Linked DNA regions of Caenorhabditis elegans. The protein of the gene in region 1 interacts with the protein of each later gene in a pairwise test. Each region holds a gene or a part of one and is shown in the gene's direction. Other genes may lie near its edges. The genes, in order: klp-15, cpr-5, hrpr-1 and K07E1.1.

What was found.
Region 2: the proteins of klp-15 (region 1) and cpr-5 interact in a two-hybrid assay, tested with the Caenorhabditis elegans proteins (one large-scale study listed by BioGRID).
Region 3: the proteins of klp-15 (region 1) and hrpr-1 interact in a two-hybrid assay, tested with the Caenorhabditis elegans proteins (one large-scale study listed by BioGRID).
Region 4: the proteins of klp-15 (region 1) and K07E1.1 interact in a two-hybrid assay, tested with the Caenorhabditis elegans proteins (one large-scale study listed by BioGRID).

What each region holds. Positions count from the first base shown.
Region 1 is NC_003279.8:5,576,536-5,581,011, reverse strand, and holds klp-15 (Kinesin motor domain-containing protein), read left to right. Parts: upstream 1-1,817; 5' UTR 1,818-1,830; coding exon 1,831-1,984; intron 1,985-2,115; coding exon 2,116-2,903; intron 2,904-2,950; coding exon 2,951-3,386; intron 3,387-3,433; coding exon 3,434-3,819; 3' UTR 3,820-3,942; downstream 3,943-4,476. Other genes in the region: ctnb-1 (Beta-catenin-like protein 1 N-terminal domain-containing protein), read right to left, coding at 1-222, 286-394, 439-642, 687-1,247, 1,290-1,346; rmh-1 (RecQ-mediated genome instability protein 1 homolog), read right to left, coding at 4,375-4,476.
Region 2 is NC_003283.11:1,132,054-1,135,674, reverse strand, and holds cpr-5 (Cathepsin B-like cysteine proteinase 5), read left to right. Parts: upstream 1-1,638; 5' UTR 1,639-1,720; coding exon 1,721-2,178; intron 2,179-2,364; coding exon 2,365-2,606; intron 2,607-2,654; coding exon 2,655-2,989; 3' UTR 2,990-3,077; downstream 3,078-3,621. Other genes in the region: cpr-8 (Peptidase C1A papain C-terminal domain-containing protein), read right to left, coding at 511-646, 701-940, 986-1,049.
Region 3 is NC_003279.8:12,059,748-12,066,789, reverse strand, and holds hrpr-1 (RRM domain-containing protein), read left to right. Parts: upstream 1-1,892; 5' UTR 1,893-1,902; coding exon 1,903-2,058; intron 2,059-2,112; coding exon 2,113-2,559; intron 2,560-3,165; coding exon 3,166-3,342; intron 3,343-3,543; coding exon 3,544-3,679; intron 3,680-3,893; coding exon 3,894-4,024; intron 4,025-4,571; coding exon 4,572-5,014; intron 5,015-5,060; coding exon 5,061-5,291; intron 5,292-5,686; exon of another isoform or gene 5,687-5,780; intron 5,781-5,837; coding exon 5,838-5,952; 3' UTR 5,953-6,519; downstream 6,520-7,042. Other genes in the region: F58D5.2 (MARVEL domain-containing protein), read left to right, coding at 460-585, 629-745; ksr-2 (Kinase suppressor of Ras B), read left to right, coding at 7,008-7,033.
Region 4 is NC_003280.10:4,549,270-4,552,716, forward strand, and holds K07E1.1 (putative inactive acireductone dioxygenase 2), read left to right. Parts: upstream 1-1,813; 5' UTR 1,814-1,831; coding exon 1,832-2,260; intron 2,261-2,593; coding exon 2,594-2,641; 3' UTR 2,642-2,908; downstream 2,909-3,447. UniProt on the Caenorhabditis elegans protein: Probable inactive acireductone dioxygenase.

The sequences.
Region 1 (4,476 bases):
CATCAGGTGTCGTATCCTTTCTTTTTGTCTTTGAAGGTGTTCTCATGAATAACGGGAAAATTGTTCTCAATCCGAGCATTTCGACAAGTTTATTGCAATTTTCGATTCCCTCGTCTCCTGATGTTGCATGGTTCAGAACTTTCAGAGCACTTTGTCTTGCTTGTTTCTTCTCTCGGAGCATCAAATTCATCAATTGAAGACCTTCTCCGTCGAGGAACTTTTCTGAAAACATTTATTTTGAACAAGAGCAATTTTTTTGGTGTTTATATTCAAAAAAATTCGTACTTCGATTAGCCGGATGCATAAGTGCGGCACAAAGTGAGTTGAATAGATTTTCCATGTATTCTCGTTCGTCTACATTTGCTGGATCGTTCTTTTTGTACACAGCAATGGTCTTAAAAGTTCAATTTATTCTTGATACTTTGTTTGGCTACTCACTCTCAATAAAATATCGATGCCATCAATTTTCTCTGTCAGCTTTGCCTTTGCAGTATCAGAAGTCTGCAATATGACTGAAAGAAGTTCCGAAGCGTACATCTTATTCGCATCAAATGCACCTTTCTGAAAGCATCTTTTCAGAAGCCAAACCGTGAATCCGTGCTTTACGCATTCTTCAGTAATGTCATCGCGGAAACCAATCATCTGAAAATATATTGTTTTGTTTTTCAAATATCGATTTTTCTTACATTGTCCACAACTCCGAGTGCATTATGGACGCCATCCGCTTCATCTTTGACGCTTTCATCGAGCCTCTCTACGCATGCTAACAAAGTTGTGATAATCGATCCAGACACAAGACTTTCAATAAGTTCAGCTGCTCCATCTTCTCCTTCGTTCATCACATCATCGTCTGTAAGTTCTCTCAAGAGACTAAGTGTTGCACACACAATATCAGTATTCTCGTGTCCTAATAATTGAAGAAGAATTTCAACTCCGTTGACTTCAACAAACGATCCATAAAGGTCTGGTTGAGAAGCCAGACTATGCATTTCTTGAATTGCCTTGTCTAATTCAATTTCCGATTCCATGAATTTCTGAGCATCATCTGGATTTTTAACTCTTTGTTCTCGATTTAATCGCATCTTTTTGTCAAGTTGAATAACAAGTTTCTTAACTTGCACATCGTCGAGAGCCACATAATTTGATTGATCGGCTTCCAAAGCCGCAAGAATATCTTCTGGTTTTGGCTGGCCAGCTTGAGATGAAGAAGAAGCACTATCGTCAAAACGAGATTTCTTTCTTGCTGGCTGTAAACTATTTATAATCAAAAAAATTTAATATCAATTTACCTGATACAAAGAAGATGTCGATGATTTGATAATCTCTGTTACATCGATAGAAGTCATCTGGAAACAATCATTTACCAACCTATATTTTTAAAAAACCACAGAAAAATCAAAATATTGAAGAAAGTGTATAAAAATTTTCGCAAGCAAATATTTTCAAATTTTTTTTTTGCAATTACTTTGGTGTAGATATACGGTAAACAAGGCGCGCACCGGAATATCGGAGTGTCGCTCACATTATAATTTCTAGACCTGCATTTTATATATTTGTTTGTATAACCTGATATCAGTGCAATTATGGATAAGCCTTCTGTGTTATAGTTATAAATAATTTTTACGGCATTCTTTATGCCTTTTGACAACAAAATAATTATATCCGACAATTCTGGATGAGCTCAACATGATATAAATTTTTGATCTAATACCGTAGTTGACTACGGTAATCCATTCGATTTGGCGGGAATTTTCAGAGGCGGAGTTCAACTTTGAGCGGGAAAATGTCAATGAAGGGGCTGATTTCCTCATTTTTGTCCCAAATTTCGCGATGAATGTCGCTCGAAGAAGAAGTGGCCTGTTTCGGTCGACTATCGGAGCAACGCCGAAGATCACAAGAGGACGTGCTGCCGCGCCATCCACCAAAGAAGCCAATTCAACAACAATCCCAAGACAGTCGGCTCCTGGAGGAATAACGATTGGAGGTAAATTTGTCATTTGTGTTTTTAAATAACTTCCTCGTGATTTCAAAGTGTTCACACTTCTAAATAAAACATGTTTTTGTTTTTGTTTAAAACCTTTTTTGTTAACAACTACTTTAATTACGAGTTTTCAGCCGCTGCTCGTCGTCCTCCGTCTCGTTTGCCTACCCCCACAACGCCTGCAACTGGTAGAGCATCGTTGCCAGAACGATCAGCGATGGCCAAACCAGCGTCGTGTTCCCGTCCCATACCAACGATGCAATCCACCGCGAGCCGTATTTCCACACTGACGGCAGCTTCTACGTTTCGACAACTTCGCACAGGTCGTCCACCGCCACCATCCACTCAACGCTCAACTGCGACTTCTTCCCTGAAGCCGTCGGTGACAAGAGCCCGACCAGTGGCACAGAAGCCTATTCTCCCTTCTAAGATGGCGCTTCTTGAAGAGAAAATTGCGCAGCTCGAGAGTGCGATGGCTGAGGCTACCGACTTTGCTGAACATCAGAAGAGCAAGATCCAAATCCTGGATGGCAAACTTGAAGGAGCGGATCGCAAGCTGATTTCACTGCAAGATCAATTGAGCACGCTGAAAGAAGTCAACAAGGCGAAAGTGGAGGAGTGCGAGGATTATCGTGTGCACAACAACGATCTCCGGGATCTGCTCAACGAAAAGGAAGCTGAGTTGAGAAAGTTGCACAACGATGTTGTCGATTTACGCGGTCAAATTCGTGTGGCTGTTCGCGTTCGGCCGTTGATCAAATCTGAAGCCGACGCCTCGAGTTCTGCAATTGAGTATCCGGCTATCGATACCATCAGAATCAATGAAGGCTCGAAGCCTGGAATTGTGGTCAAATTCGAGAAGGTTTTCACGCCAGTCTTCTCGCAGAAGGAAGTGTTCGCGAACGTCGAGGAGTTCATTCGGGTTAGTTTCAAAATATAATATTAATAATTGAAAATTGATAATTTCAGTCGTCACTGCATGGGTACAACGTCGGATTGATTGCCTATGGACAAACCGGAAGTGGCAAAACTCACACGATGCGAGGAGGAAATGGTGAAGAGGAAGGAATCATCCCGAGAGCAGCTGCATTTCTGTTCGCCGAATCCAGAAAGCTCGAGTCACTTGGATGGAAATTCGACTTCTCGTTGTCTTTCCTAGAAGTCTACAACAACGTGGCATACGACCTTCTCAGTGACCGCGCCGTTGTCCAACTTCGTTTGAACGATCAAACGGTTTCCATGATTGGGCTCTCCGAGCACACGATTTCCAATGTCTCGGATGTGGCTAGACTTCTTCGTGTAGCAGACGGTGGCAGGAAGACGGCGGCGACAAAGTGCAATGAGAGCTCGTCTCGTTCGCACGCCGTTTATATGTGGAAGATTACAGCTCATCAGCCATCAACTGGTAACTTTCGAAAATAAAAATAATTAATTCACAATATTGATATACAGGAATTTCAACATCGTGCCAGCTCAAACTTGTGGATCTCGCAGGATCCGAACGTGCCAAGGAGTCTGGTGTCAGTGGCGACCAGTTCAAGGAGATGACTAATATCAACCAGTCGTTGTCTATCCTTCAGATGTGCATCAGCCAGCAAAGATCCCAGAAGGGACATGTTTCATATCGCGACAGCAAACTGACACAAGTGCTGATGGACTGCTTGGGACGTGGCAACTCGAAGACTATGGTTGTGGTCAATCTCAATCCATGCAACGAGCAAGCGACAGAGTCCAAGAGAAGCATCGAATTCGCCTCAAAGATGCGCAGTACTAACATCGGATCGGCCGTGCAGCAACGGACTCTCTTGGGTGACGTGTCCCAGATGTCTATGAACTAGACATATAATTCTATTCTAACATTTCATGTAAAATAACGTTATTTTTATTGCCTTATGCAAACCTTTTATACTGATGTAACCTAAATATTTCGATCATTAACAAAATGAACGAATTTCAATTTTACTTTGCGTTTTTTGAGTTTTAATCGTCTGTTTCAAAACAAAGGGAGATCCCGATAGGAAAAATATAGTCCGGTCTAAATGCTGTTGATTGGGTTATAAATACATTGTTTTGAGCTTTATGAGAATATTACATTTCTTACTGTAGTATGTATGTCTCGACCCGACGAACTTTTGATGAATTCGAAAATGGCATGACCCTTTAAAGAGTACTGTAGTTTCAAACTCTCGTTGTATCGAAAACTGTACAGTTTTCCATACAGTTTGTTTAAATTTATGTTTTTTGTTACATTTCTGTTTTAAAGAAATTTTAACGAAAGAAAAAGCTTAAAACAGTTGTATTGTATTTGGAAACAACAAAAAAACAAGAACAATTAAATAATACATGACTATATTGTGGTACACGTGAATTCAGGTAGCAAGCAATAGAAATAATTACAAAATATTGAGAGCATCAGAAATCGTTTTCACGTCAAGAATGAGCGGAATTTGGTTACGCTCTGGTGAAACCTCAACCCATAAAAGAAGATCAAGACG
Region 2 (3,621 bases), on another chromosome or scaffold:
ATAATATAAATAATTAAAACAAAATTAAAGTATAAAAAATGTAGGAAAAACATTTTTTTTTTGGTCGACTTCCAAAATTATGAGTGGCAAAAACTGAGTAATTGTCACTTTCTGACAGTAAATAAAAAAAGTTCAAAAATTTTTCGAAACGTTTTATTATGATATTCGGTCATTTTGGCACCATATAAATAGTTTTTAACATTTTCCCCACTGGCGCTACTCCACCTTTAATAAAAAGCACGTCTGCGTTTAATCAAACAATTTTGCAGTTGTTGCACTTTTTTCTCAAATTTGCATCACGCGCCGCAAGAAAATTGATTAAATATACATTTCTCAATGTTGAAAAATTTACGAGCTTTAAAAATTTTGAAAGTTGATAAGATAGAGACTTTTCTTCGCAAACTTTTGTTGGTAGGCAGACACGCCTCCAGGTTTGCCTGCCTGCCTGCCATCCGCTTCTAAATTTTGACAGGATCACTGGACCTGTAGAGACGTGCAACTACACCTCACCCTTCCCCACAGGAAAACATTCCCGTGCAACAACTCAAAAGTTCTTCAGCGGATAAAATGGTATTTTTAAATCCTCCGGAATTAATGCAAAGCCTGTCAGACATTGATTCGGCTGCTGCGAACGCCCAACTTGTCTCTGAAAAATTTAGGCCATTACCGTTCATATTCTGGAATTTAAAGCAAAACTCACTACATTCTGAAATATCGTTGATCTGTGGAATTGACATGCACTCCGGCCAACGTTCTCTCGCATCAAATGAAGGAGATAGATCGGAATTTGCTTGTGACACCCCGAAATTCTGGATTTTGAATCCTATAGTTGCAGCGTCTGTGACAAGAGTTTTCAGCATAGAATTCCGGCTCAGAGCAGGAATCCCAGCAGTCCAAGTAGTTTTTTGCGAATTCACATAATGAATTATCCGGTCAATTTCTGAAAATATTGCTTTCAATCTAGAAATACAATTTGTAAAAAAACCTGAAGGTGGTACTCCATCGGCTTGAAATAGGACTCCGATCAGGCAAATCAATATTTTCCGCATTTCGGGTTAGAAATGATTGATTCAATGCTTTCTTATCATTGATTTGAAGTTGCAAAGTTCAGAAAATTTACATCATATTATCCAAAAAGAAATGCAAGCGGAGCTTATTCGGTGAACAATGATTAACAAAATTGCTTCAAAGTAAATTTTATGCAGCTCTACTAAAATTCATGGATTTTCATAAAATCTGCTTTAATAATTCTGGACTAGGCTTATGCCTACTTTTAAGCTTATTCTTAGGCTTAGGCTTGTGCTTCGGCTTAGGTTTATGCTTAGGCTTAGGCTTAGGCATAGGCTTAGGCGTAGGCTTAGGCTTAGAGTTAGGCTTAGGCGTACGCTTTGGTTTACGCTTATGCTTATGCTTATGCTTTTGCTTATGCTTATGCTTATGCTTATGCTTAGGCTCAGGCTTAGGCTTAGGCATTAAGCTTAGGTATTAGGCTCATCCCTAATTCCTAATCCCCTTAGAATTTTTACAGTATTAAAAAATGTTTACATCAATGATCTATTCCGACAAGTGAAAGTATATTTGGCGCGCGACTCATTTACGTCACATTCCTTTTAATTTTTAATTCTTAAAAAAGATACTGATAAAATTAACTGATAAGAATGATGCGTACCGACTACTTAATGAGCATTAGACGCGAACCTTCGCAGACACTTCTCTCATAATGTGGAAGCTCTCCGCTATTCTTCTCGTGGCTGCTGCCTCGGCTGTGGTGATTCCTGGACACCGTGAAGCCCCAGCTCTCACTGGACAAGCTTTGATCGACTATGTCAACTCTGCCCAAAAGCTTTGGACCGCTGGACATCAAGTCATTCCAAAGGAGAAGATCACCAAGAAGCTGATGGATGTTAAGTATTTGGTGCCACACAAGGATGAGGATATTGTCGCTACTGAGGTCTCCGACGCTATTCCAGACCACTTCGATGCTCGTGATCAATGGCCAAACTGCATGTCCATCAATAACATTAGAGATCAATCTGACTGCGGTTCCTGCTGGGCGTTCGCCGCTGCTGAAGCTATCTCCGACAGAACATGCATTGCCTCCAATGGAGCCGTTAACACTTTGCTCTCATCTGAAGATCTGCTCTCGTGCTGCACCGGAATGTTCAGCTGCGGAAATGGGTAAGGCTCCGATTCTGATTTGAAAACTACGCGTCTACACAAAAACGATAAGAATCGACAAATTCCGTTTATGACAAAATGATCTCTAGCGCCGTAGTTTTAATCTCCAAAATCGAAAGTTCTTGCTGATAAGAACACAGTGATCGGCATGGACTCACAGTTGCTTTCAAAACCATTTTTTTCCAGTTGCGAAGGAGGTTACCCAATCCAGGCATGGAAGTGGTGGGTCAAGCACGGTCTCGTCACCGGAGGATCCTACGAGACCCAGTTCGGATGCAAGCCATACTCGATCGCTCCATGCGGCGAGACTGTGAACGGCGTCAAGTGGCCAGCATGCCCAGAAGACACCGAGCCAACTCCAAAGTGTGTCGACTCCTGCACTTCCAAGAACAACTACGCCACCCCATATCTTCAGGATAAGCACTTTGGTGAGTTTACACGTGTAAGCGGCGCTGGTTAACACTATGAAGTTCTAGGATCTACCGCCTACGCCGTCGGAAAGAAGGTCGAGCAAATCCAGACCGAGATTCTTACGAACGGACCAATCGAGGTTGCCTTCACCGTCTACGAGGACTTCTACCAATACACCACTGGAGTGTACGTACACACCGCCGGAGCCTCCCTCGGAGGACACGCCGTCAAGATCCTCGGATGGGGAGTCGACAACGGAACCCCATACTGGCTTGTCGCCAACTCGTGGAACGTCGCCTGGGGAGAGAAGGGATACTTCCGTATCATTCGTGGACTCAACGAGTGTGGAATCGAGCACTCGGCTGTTGCCGGAATTCCAGACTTGGCTCGTCACAACTAAGGCTGCTATCGGAACTTTTTTAAAATAATTCTTCAGGGAGATTTCCATGTGTATATTATGAAATGATGATAAATATTTTATAATTTGCTATGATATTATTTAAAGTATAACCTCGTTTTTCAGTATCTCTGTAATTGGCTGAAAAAAATTGGCCGGTCGAACTTTTACGAGAAGGGTGGGAGACGGAGCGGATTTGCTCAAAACCGGCCTGACGGCAGCAGACAAACCGCGGACTAGGGAACCCGTGCAGGCTGCCATGTTGCGGACACCTTGCGGCTACCTCCGCCTGCCACGCGCCGCGCCTTTTGTATAATATGGCTCTGAACCCAAAAAGTGAGCGTTGCGTAGACCCCAAATCTTTGATTTCATGCCTGTAGAATTGAAGCGAGGAGGCCCGCTTTCGGTGATCAGGTGTCAGGCAGGCCATCAGACTTTGAACCCGCGCCTGCCTCTTATCGAAACTACAGACGGCTAACTGGCGAACAAAAAGAACAGCCCGGAATGGTCATTGGGCCGATTTTCAGTTAGCCTGTGCTCTTTATTCGAGAAATTATTTGTGAAATTCGCTCTGATTCACTTCCAAACATTTATAGTTATAGGCGGTTTAAATCAAATCTATGAAATTAAATTGT
Region 3 (7,042 bases), 6.5 Mb from region 1:
GGTCAGGCAGTGGGTTTATTCCCTAAAAAGAATAAGCCTGGTTCAACAAAAAGAACGTTGAACCGGTCAGAAAGATCAAGCCAAGATAGTTCGAGATGTGAACTGACACTTCCTCAGTAACCTTTTTTTCTACAAAAAAAAACACTAGAAACTGTGAGAAAATCAAATATTCTTGGCAGAGCACAATTGCACTACCCTGCACTTGCGCACTGATGAGAATTTGGCGAAAAATTCGCATTTTTATATATAAACTTACATTTAAATGTAAATTACTTCAATTTTGTGATAGAATGCATTTAAAATGTGTAGAATTTGAATTTTTCTCTGAAAAAAGTCGGAAAACCCGCATTTTCTCCTCAGAGCACAACCTTGGGTTTTCGAATTGTTTAATTTTTTAAGGTAAAATTCGATTTCCCTATTCTAAATGCAAATAAAAAATAGTTTTTCTTTATTTTTCAGGAAGCTCTTCTGTATGTGCTCGTTTCGGTGGGCCTCCTTGTGTCTGCCATCTTGATGTGGGTGTTTTGTGCGGCTCATTGGGCTGAAATGAATCCCGAATGGGCTACGATGCCAGCACTGGCTACGGTAAGTAACTTATAAAATTCTAAGACTCGGAGCTCTTTTTTAGGCTGCTCTATTCTTGTGTTCGGCTCTTTATTTCATAGAAATCTGTGTCTTGCTCAATGATGCTCGCCGGTGTAGCTGGAGACCACCACAACCGACATCTTCAGTTCTTCCTCAATAAATCATCAAAATAATAAAAATAAATAATTGAACAAATCCATGGTCTTTCTCATCTAAATATACCTCATTTTTATCATAAATAAATAGTTTTTACCTGCAAAATAAGACTGATCTCGGGCGGGCTCGAACCACCGACCTTCTGTGTGTTAGACAGATGTGATAACCACTACACCACGAGACCGCTGGCACTGTCAGCTTTTCAATGTCATTTTATTTTACACGTTTTTTGAAAGACTTTGAAAGAGTCTTACCTTTTTGATTTTCACTGAAGTACTAGAAAGTTCCCACCGAGATTAAAATTTTATGAATTTATTTGCCTCTTTCTCTAACTTATTTCTAGGTCCCTTTAAATTAGTATTCAGTGATGAAGCCCACCGGTGCAGCTGGACACCATTCATGGTTATCCAAAACGTCCTTTTCAATCTCTATGCTCTCTGATCCTCTCGATTTCCCATGATATCTCTCCCTTTCTCCATTCAAAGAGTACATCCTCGTCCCTTCCCGTTCCATTCAACGTCTTCTGCTGCTCTTTTCGTGCAAATGAACACCATCTGTTCACAAGTAAACCGCGACGCGGCCGCTCCGCCCGACGAGAGATGTGCTGCGATGTGTGGTATGGGGTGAGAGACGCAGACGGTGTAAGTTAAAGGGACATTACCCAAAGTGTGAAAGATATCCCGTACCGAAGACGCTCGCCGCTTCGATTTTTGTTTTTGCCGCCGTTCGATTCGAATTTTGAACGTCTTCGTCATCTTTTTTGTGCATTATCCTTCGTTTTTCACGATTTTAAACCTCTTAGAATGTTAAATTACCTTGAAAATCCGGAATTTTCACATAAAATCCTTCAAAAAATTGAGTAAAACTCCGAAATTCGATGTATTTCATGTGCAATGTAATATTTGAACAATTTCCTGATTTTTTACTGGTTTTTCTTAATTTTTCTATCAGTTTCTGCTTTATCTAGACTTTTTCTTAATTTCAGAGTTTATTTCACTCATATTCTCAATCAAAATTCCAGTAAATTTGTGAAAATAGGCTTGAAAATTAAATTGATTTGAATCTTTAAAATCTGCTGGAACATCAAATTTTTCACAGTTTTTTGCTATTTTCAGAGCAATTTATCGTATTTAGATTATCGATTTTTGCAGATCTCCCGCCATGAGTGAGGAAATCAAACAGGAAGTAAAGGAGGAGGCTCCAGAAACAACGACTGAAGCCAAGACCGAAGAGGCTGCTCCTGTCGCAGAAGTAGTTGCAGAAGTTGTTACCAACGGAGATAAGCCGGCTGAAAATGGAAAGACCGAGGAGCCAAGCGTATGTTCTATCTAGAAAGGCGCACTTAATCAGTAATAATCGTTGAATTTCCAGAAATACGCCGAGACCGAGAACTACAAGAAGCTTATCGGGCTTAAAATGAAGCCAGCCCTCGCCGACGTCGTGTGCGAAATCTACGAGTCCGGACTTCTCGGCCCAGAGGATCTCGATGATCGTGCAGTCGACATCATCAACTCGGTGAACCTCGATCAGGCAAAATTCATCTTTACCGAAATCAAGAACTCTGAACTCTTCGGAGTTGCCACCAAATCGCTTTACGTCACCTCACTGATCCGCTCATTCAAAGATCGGTGCCGTCAACAGGGAGCAGCTGCCGTAACATCCGGAAAGCTTATCAATGGACCAGAGTTGGCCGCGTTGAAGAACCTACTGGAAACCACCGGATACACCATTGAAGTCACAATTGGACAGAGAAAGTTCGGAGGACCTCCACCAGATTGGGAAGGACCTGCTACAGGGCCAGCTGGACAGGGACACGAGGTAGAAGCGAGAGGCACCACGAAAATGAGATCTGGAAGCGGCTTTAACGCCAATTTTCCCGAAGAAATACGTTACAACGATGCTCTGCGGCGCGTTGTTTTGCCTTTCTTTATGTGTGCGATAGAGCTTTTCCGTCAATTTTTGCCGTTTCTGTTCAAAGTTTATCGATTTTGCTTGATTATTTCCTTTTTCAGCTATTTTTAAAGGAAAATGACCACGTTTTCGCCCAGAAAACAATGCCAAGTTTCTATAGATTTCAGAGTTCCTTCAGACGCTCTAACGGTAAAAACTGTGAAAACTTGGCCATTTTTCATCAAAAATAGCTCAGCTTTAACCTACAAGTTGAAAAAGTTAGCGGAAAATTACTATCGCTAAACTGAAAAAAAGCAAAAAGACCGAAAAACCGCGCCGCAGACTTGCAACTTGCAACCGACGTTTCGCTTTCTCTAGACCGTGCCCATGAGGCTTCGTGCCTTTTTTCGGATTAAAATTTCGAAAAAAAACGCGCATCCGAGAAAAATGGCTTTAAAAGAAAACTACCGCTGCCAGATCCCAGTTTTGCGAATTCTCTTTTTATGAGACCCTCACCTATTCAACCATTTTCAGATCTACGTCGGACACATTCCAACGGACGTCTTCGAAGACACCCTGGTTCCCCTCTTCGAGAAATCCGGAAAAATCTGGGATCTCCGTCTTATGATGGATCCAATGTCCGGTGCTTCCCGTGGATATGCTTTTGTCACGTATTGTAATAAGGAAGACGCTGCGGCTGCCGCCAAGACTGTAAGTTTAGGCTTTCCCCATGCAATTTCAGAGCAGTAGGGTAGGGTGATGCCTCTAGCCATTGAAAAATTGCTTCCCAATGCGTTGTGTTTATTCATTATTGCATTTTGGACACAATTGGAGAGAATTCCCGCCTTCCGAGCCAAAAAACCATTTAAAAACCAACATCACAACGCATTTCATCCATTTTCTTTACTTTAGTATGACGGCCACGAAATTTCGACTGGAAAACCACTCAAAGTGAACGTTTCGATCGCTAACACTCGCCTTTTTATTGGCAATATTCCGAAGACGAAATCTAAAGACGAAATTCTTGAAGAGCTCAAGACTCATGCAGGTACAGAACCCATTTTCGAAACATTTTCTCGATTTTCAAGCAATAAAGATTCAAAAAAAGTGAAAAAAGCGAAGAAAAAATCGATTTTTTTTCTTCTTTCTGTATCCTATTTATTTTTTCTATTGTGATCGTGTGGTCTTTTTTATTAATCAATATTACTATTATTATTATTATTTTCAATCTAGCCACTTTCAGCAATAATTTAACATTTCAGAGGGCGTAGTTGACGTTATCGTCTACTCGGTGCCGGACAATGAGAAAATAAAGAATCGTGGATTCTGTTTCGTTGATTTCATCGATCACAAGACGGCTTCTGATATCAAGAGAAAGATTGCACAGCATAAGGTGAATTTTTGGATGATTTGGAGGATTTACGCTGCATTTTCGCTGGCTTTTTACCTTTAAAATGGCTAATTTTATAGCATTTTAAGTGAAAAATTGATTTTTCTCGATATTCACGTAAAACAATTGGAATTAGCGACTTAAAAAGTGAAAATACTTGATTTCTGGGACATTTTCCCCCTTTAAGCGGCTAATTCAAAGTGCTTTATGTGAAAATCGAGAAAAATCAATTTTTCACCTAAAATGCTATAAAATTAGCCATTTTAAAGGTAAAAAGGCAGCGAAAATGGCACAAAAGAAGCATTATAGCCAAAAAGAGCATACGAGTCAAGAGAAATCGATTTTCGTCTAGAATACAGTATTTTAAGTGAAAATCTATGTACTTCTTGATTTTTGAGGCATTGTAACTTATAAAACTATACATTTTTATATTTAAAAGGTAAAAAAAAACGTTCCAAAACAGACAATTTTCTCCTCGAGAACTACACGAGCTGCGTAAATCTACACGATTTTTCTCTGAAAATAGCAAAAATAAAAATATTCTTTCCAGATACGTCCATTCAACGCTGATGTCTACGTGGATTGGGCTGAGCATCAAGAAGAGCCAGACGAGGATACCATGTCGAAGGTGAAGGTGCTGTACATCCGAAACATCAAGGAAGCAGTGACCGAGGAGAAGCTGAACGAGCTCTTCAAGGAATACGCAAGTCTGGATAGAGTTAAGAAGGTGAAGGACTACGCGTTCATCCACTTCAACGAGCGTGACGATTGCCTGAAAGCAATGGAAGAATGGAATGGAAAAGAGCTCGAGGGAACTGTTGTTGAAGCTTCACTCGCCAAGCCACCACAGGAGAAGAAGAAGAAGCCAGTGATGCGTGGGCGTGGATTCGGTGGAGCTGGTGGTGGTGCTGGAAATCATGGACAACGTGGTGGACAACGTGGAGGTGGTCAGTGGGGTGGAAATGCTGGACCAGGAGGTTATTATCCAAATCAGTGAGTTAATTCAGTGAAAAACTATGAAAAATCAACACATTTTCAGCTTCAACAATGGCTACGACATGCCAATGCCTTGGGGAGGTGGCTACGGTGGTGACATGGGATATGGTGCATATGGAGGAGGTTACGGTGGTGGATACGGTGGCCCGGGAGCCTATGGAGATTTTGGAGCCTACGGAGGCGGTGGATTTAGAGGAGGAATGCGTGGATCGCCGAGAGGAGGAATGGGCGGTGGAGGAGGATTCCGTGGTGGACCACCTGGACGCGGTGGAATGTAAGTTTTGAAGTGTGGTGGAGTGCTGCTGCGCCAGTGGACGGAATTTGTCTAAAAAATTACAAAAAAATTAATTTTGAACTGCCCTTGTTCGATAGAGCGCGCTTGCATTTTTTGTAATTTTTAAAAAATTCGTTTCTCACATTTTCCAATGATTTTTCTGTAAATTTTCACTGGAAATTTGAAGAAAATTTCAAGAAAAATGCAAATTTTTCACTAGAGAGCATCTGTATGGGTACGTAACCATAAAGTTGCCTTATTGTGAAAAATTTGCATTAATCTTGCAAACGTTTCTTCAAATTTCCAATAAAAATACACTGAAAATATAAAAAATCAGTAGAAAATGAGAAAAATAAACTAAAAATGCATTAAAATAAATAAAAAATACAAGCGCGCTCTATTGAACAAGGGTAGTTCAAAATTAATTTTTTGTGTTTTTCAAATCAATTTCCCCCCCCCCCCCCCCCCCCCCCACTGGCGCAGAATTCTCCATATATCTTTATAAAATTGTGCAAGAATAATCCTAATAAATGTCTGAGGTTACAGGGCAAACAGACGCGGTCGAGGAAAGCGCCCGGGAGACGGACGAGGGGGACCAGCATCGAAACGAGACAACGGAAAGCCTGATTTCTCGGCTGACGTCAACATGAGCACTTTCTAAATTGCACCCCCGGCAGAAACTCACTTTTTCTTTGTTTTTTAAATTATTTTTCACTCCCCCCATTTTTTAAAAAATTTTAAACTTTTTCAACCAAAAATTTTGCATTTTGCATTATTTTTCTAAATTTTTTTGTTTCGTTTTTCGAATGGTTTTGATCTCAAAAATCGTTCGACTTTAGAAAGTGGTGCGAAAAATCGAAATTCTATAATTTATATACATATTACCCTCATTTCTTTTTCGAATTTTTTAAAAAATTTTTCCACTCCCTCTCTCTCCTCAACCCAACCCGTTAATCTCTCACGACCTCAAAAAGTGACAAAAACCATTCTGAAAAGTTGTATTTTCTCATTAATTGTAATAGAGATTTTGATATTGAGCTTTGCAAAAAATGGTTTTTAACGTATCTCTCTCTCTCTCTGTTTCTCTATTCCCTTCACCCTCTCCCTCTCTCTCCATTTGAAACCGTTTTATTCCGTTTTTTTTTTCTGTGTCTCGAAATTTTCACCTTTTGCTGTGAAAATTGGACGCACACACAATTTTAAAATAAAATAAAAAAAAATTTCGTTCAAAATTTTTACTCTTTCTTTCGGAAGTTTGCCCAAATTTGATTTCTCTGTTTCAGATCTTTTTTTTCGCAGTTTTCTACAAAAAGCTCGGAGAATTTTGCAATGCGGCAGGGAAAAAAGGGCGGAGCGTCGTTTGCAAGCCTGCGGCGTGGTTTTTTTTGGGATTTTCAGGATTTGGAAAATATAAAATATTTTTGGATTTTTACAAAAAATTAATACTTTTATCCAGTTTTTGTCAGAAAAAAAAAATTAATGTAAAATTTTCGAGCCTCAACCAAAAAATAAATGCCTTTTTCACTCAAAATCTTCAATTTTTTTACAAAAAAATGCAGAAAAAAGTGAATTTTTTCTAAAATAATCGCTGAAAAATCAAAAAAAAACCGCGCCGCAAGTTTGCAAACGTCGCCACGCCCCCGCAACACCTAAATTTCACGATTTTCAAATTTAATTTTTAAATATATCTTTTTTTGCAGGGAGAACCTTCGTCAGATGAGCGATGAAAAGAAGAAAAAGCGGTAGGCCGA
Region 4 (3,447 bases), on another chromosome or scaffold:
ATATTTTTGTTTTTTTTTAAATATTTTTGCATTAAATTTTTTTCAAAATGATTTTTATTCAAATTTCAAAAAATACTGAAAATTGAAACCGCTTTTGTAACTAAAAATTTAAAAAAAAATTCTGTCGAAATATTGTCTTTACAAGAATTAAGGTACGCAATTTCATGCGCCTACTTTGTGCCTACGAGCATACCTACTACCTTGTCTAATTTTTTAATGATTTTTTAGTCGATGAAATAATGTACATAAAAACAAATTTTGAATTGCTGAGCTCTAGTTCAATAACTTTAAAAATGCAGTCGAATAGAAGTAGGTAGGTAGGTAGGCAAGTAGGCACAAAAACTTATCCGAATTCATAACCATAATGATTTTCCAAATATTTTAACCTAGACGAACCTTTGAATAAAAAAATCTATAATTTTCTTCTAGCTTCTTCAAAGATAATAAAAATCAGAATAAATTGTGAAAAAATTATAAACTGATTAACTCCGGCCTGAATTGATGTCAGCTGCCCATTTTTAATCTACCGTGACTACCTAGATGGGTACATCTGTATTTTTGTAGCCATTGGACCTTAACTAGGCAAAACAAGTACCCATAATATCACAAATCAGCATGTTTTCTCCGTCCAAACATCCTTGTTTTCATCGTAAAATCAGTCAGAAGGTATCACCAAAAACGTGTTGATACCCAAAAAAAATATATCAAAAATCAGTGCATAGAGTTCGACGAACAAACTCTAAACATTTATGGAACACGAGATTTCAAATTCAAATTACCCTACTTGTCAAATGAACCAATATCTTTAGCCTATCAACTCCCACTGATAACTCAAATGAAGTCGTCGAGGACGTGTCGGCAATCGGCCGAATAGCCAATTTACAAAACTCAATCATCAAGTTGCCAATCTCTTTTTACCCCTACCTACCCCGCCAAGGTTACCACATTCGGTTTGTTCTCCACTGTATATCAACCCGTGATGATAAAAAGAGAGTAGACCTATCTATTTTTTATTTCAAATTCTCCTCCTCTTTCTACTTGTTCGATTTGCCATTCGAGATGGAGAGGAAAAGAAATATAAAGAAAAAAGAAGGCGGGCTTGAAGTCGCCTCTTCAATTTGACAATATTCTTCATTTCAACAACCACCTGGCCACTTGTAGACTTACTTCCGCCCCCGTACTACTCTTCTGATCTGACCCTTTCATCTCGAATCGCACATGGTTTCAGTGCTTCATTTGAAGCTGCCTTGGTAGGCAGAGACATATTCAGGCCTTCGTACCTGCTCATTGCCTATTCAGTATATTTTAAACGTCAATATTTGGTATTTTCACAGTTTAGGCTTACGCCGCCAGCTAAAAAAGTTCAAGCCGAGCCATAGGTTAGCAGTAGGCACGGATAAGGCTGCTTTGGTAGGCAGGTACGCGTAGGTACCTGCCTACCGCCTATTCATTTAATTCTGACTGGAAATCTGATATTTGGTTCTTGCACAGTCTAGGTTGTTTTTTGAAAATTGTTCATTGATTTGCTGAAAGTTTAGCCTGTTCAGTTTAGGAGAAAGCACGCGTAGGTAACTGATTTCTTAATTCTCACTGTATCAATGCAATTATGCTTTATCCTTCTGACGCACGACGTTCAGTCTCTAGTTAGTGTTTGTTTGTGATATTTCAAGCATCCGACATTTTACAGGTCTTTTTTTACAATTTACCTAATTTAACTTTTCTGCCAATTGAAACTTTTTTTTGTGAATTTTCGATTTTCTTTTTTTTAAACTTGTTTTTTCCCTTCTTTCCTTTATTTTCTCCTGCTTTCAGTTTTGATTTCCAGTTAAAAATGGTGCAAATCTGGCAAATGGAGCCATACCCATGTGGTGACCCAAGACTCCCACATCATCTTTTCCCACCAAAGAAGATCACTCCAGATGAGTTGAGCAAGAGAACCGGAACACTTTACTGGAAGTTGGACACACTTGATCAAGTTGCTCTTGCCAAGCGATTGACAACCTTGAAGCTGGAGCATAGTTTCAAAAAAGAGGATATTTTCACTTTGGACGCCGAGACAACTGCTAACTTCGATGATAAGATCGAGGAGTTATTCGAGGAATCATCGGTTCCATTTGAGCAGGCAAGAATGATCATTGAGGGTACAGCTTATTATGATGTGGAGGATAAGAATGGTCAATGGGTCCGTATTTTCTGCGAGTACGGGGATTTGATTTTGATTCCAGCCAACACTTGCTTCAGATTCACAACCACACCACATGTAAGTGCTACAGTTTTTGAGGTAGTTTTGAAAAATGATAGAGAAAAGGCCATTAATGTAGGCGCCGAAACGCCTGCTTCGTCTGTCTATCTAGACCGACCTCGTGACGTGAGCTGCGCTTTCTGTCTAGTACGGCGCGGAACCAAAAAGTGTCCGGCGGCAGATAGGCAGGCAGATGTCAGGCAGGTGCCTGACCCTGAAAACGCGCCTGCCTACTATAGAAGCTAGTCTCAACTTTTTTTTTTGAGAAAAAACTAAATACTGAAAATGTGATTTTTCAAATTTGAATTTTTTAAACTTTTAGAGACTTAAAAACCCTGGTTTTTTTTTCAGAACTTTGTCAAAATGCGTCGATTCTACAAAGATGAAGATTCCGAGTAACGATTCGCCCAACACAAAAACACCATAAAATCCCTAACTGACCTTTTTTCCTAAATTTCCAAACTCTGAAATCAAATCAGTTTGTACAAAAAAATTGTCTTGTAAACTTTTCAAACCAGGCCCGGTAAAAAAAAAACTAAAAACTTCTGAAAATTCCCTTCCCATCTGTCTTGTAAATAGAGCTCTCTTCATCTCTATCTCGATATTTTCTTTCCTTTTTTATTATTTTTTTTTGCAACTAAAACTCAATAAAAAACCAATTTTCTTCGTCTTTCAACTTTGCACATTGAAACAGCACTGCTAAAGCAAAAAGAGATCAGTAGCAGATGGTCTCATCGATGAACTTATTGATAAGAAAAAGAGTAATAGTGTGTGAAAGATAGAGTACACAGGGGTAATGATGTAAGGTTTTACTCGAAAAGTTGAAAAATGCACGGAATCATTGTGATAAGAGCATGGGTTAAAAGGGTTAAGAGAGATGAGGCAATAGTTGGCATTTTTAATGCATTTGCTGTAGTTTCAAGGTATTTCAATTAAGGTATACCAACTGTTTTTTTTTAATTTTACGAATAGTTTATCACAATTTTCGCAAATATCTTCGATTTGCATTCACCCTCTTGTAAGTCTTGTCAACTCCAACATAGATTGCCACAAAACAGGTGATTTTATTTGAAACGTTTTTATAGCCTACGTCTGCCTTACCAACGACCTATTTTATTTTGGCATAAACTCGAAGGCTCTAGGCTTCAACAACTCATTTCTTAAAGATGGAGTACCAATATTTCCTTGTTACTACCGAATTTCCT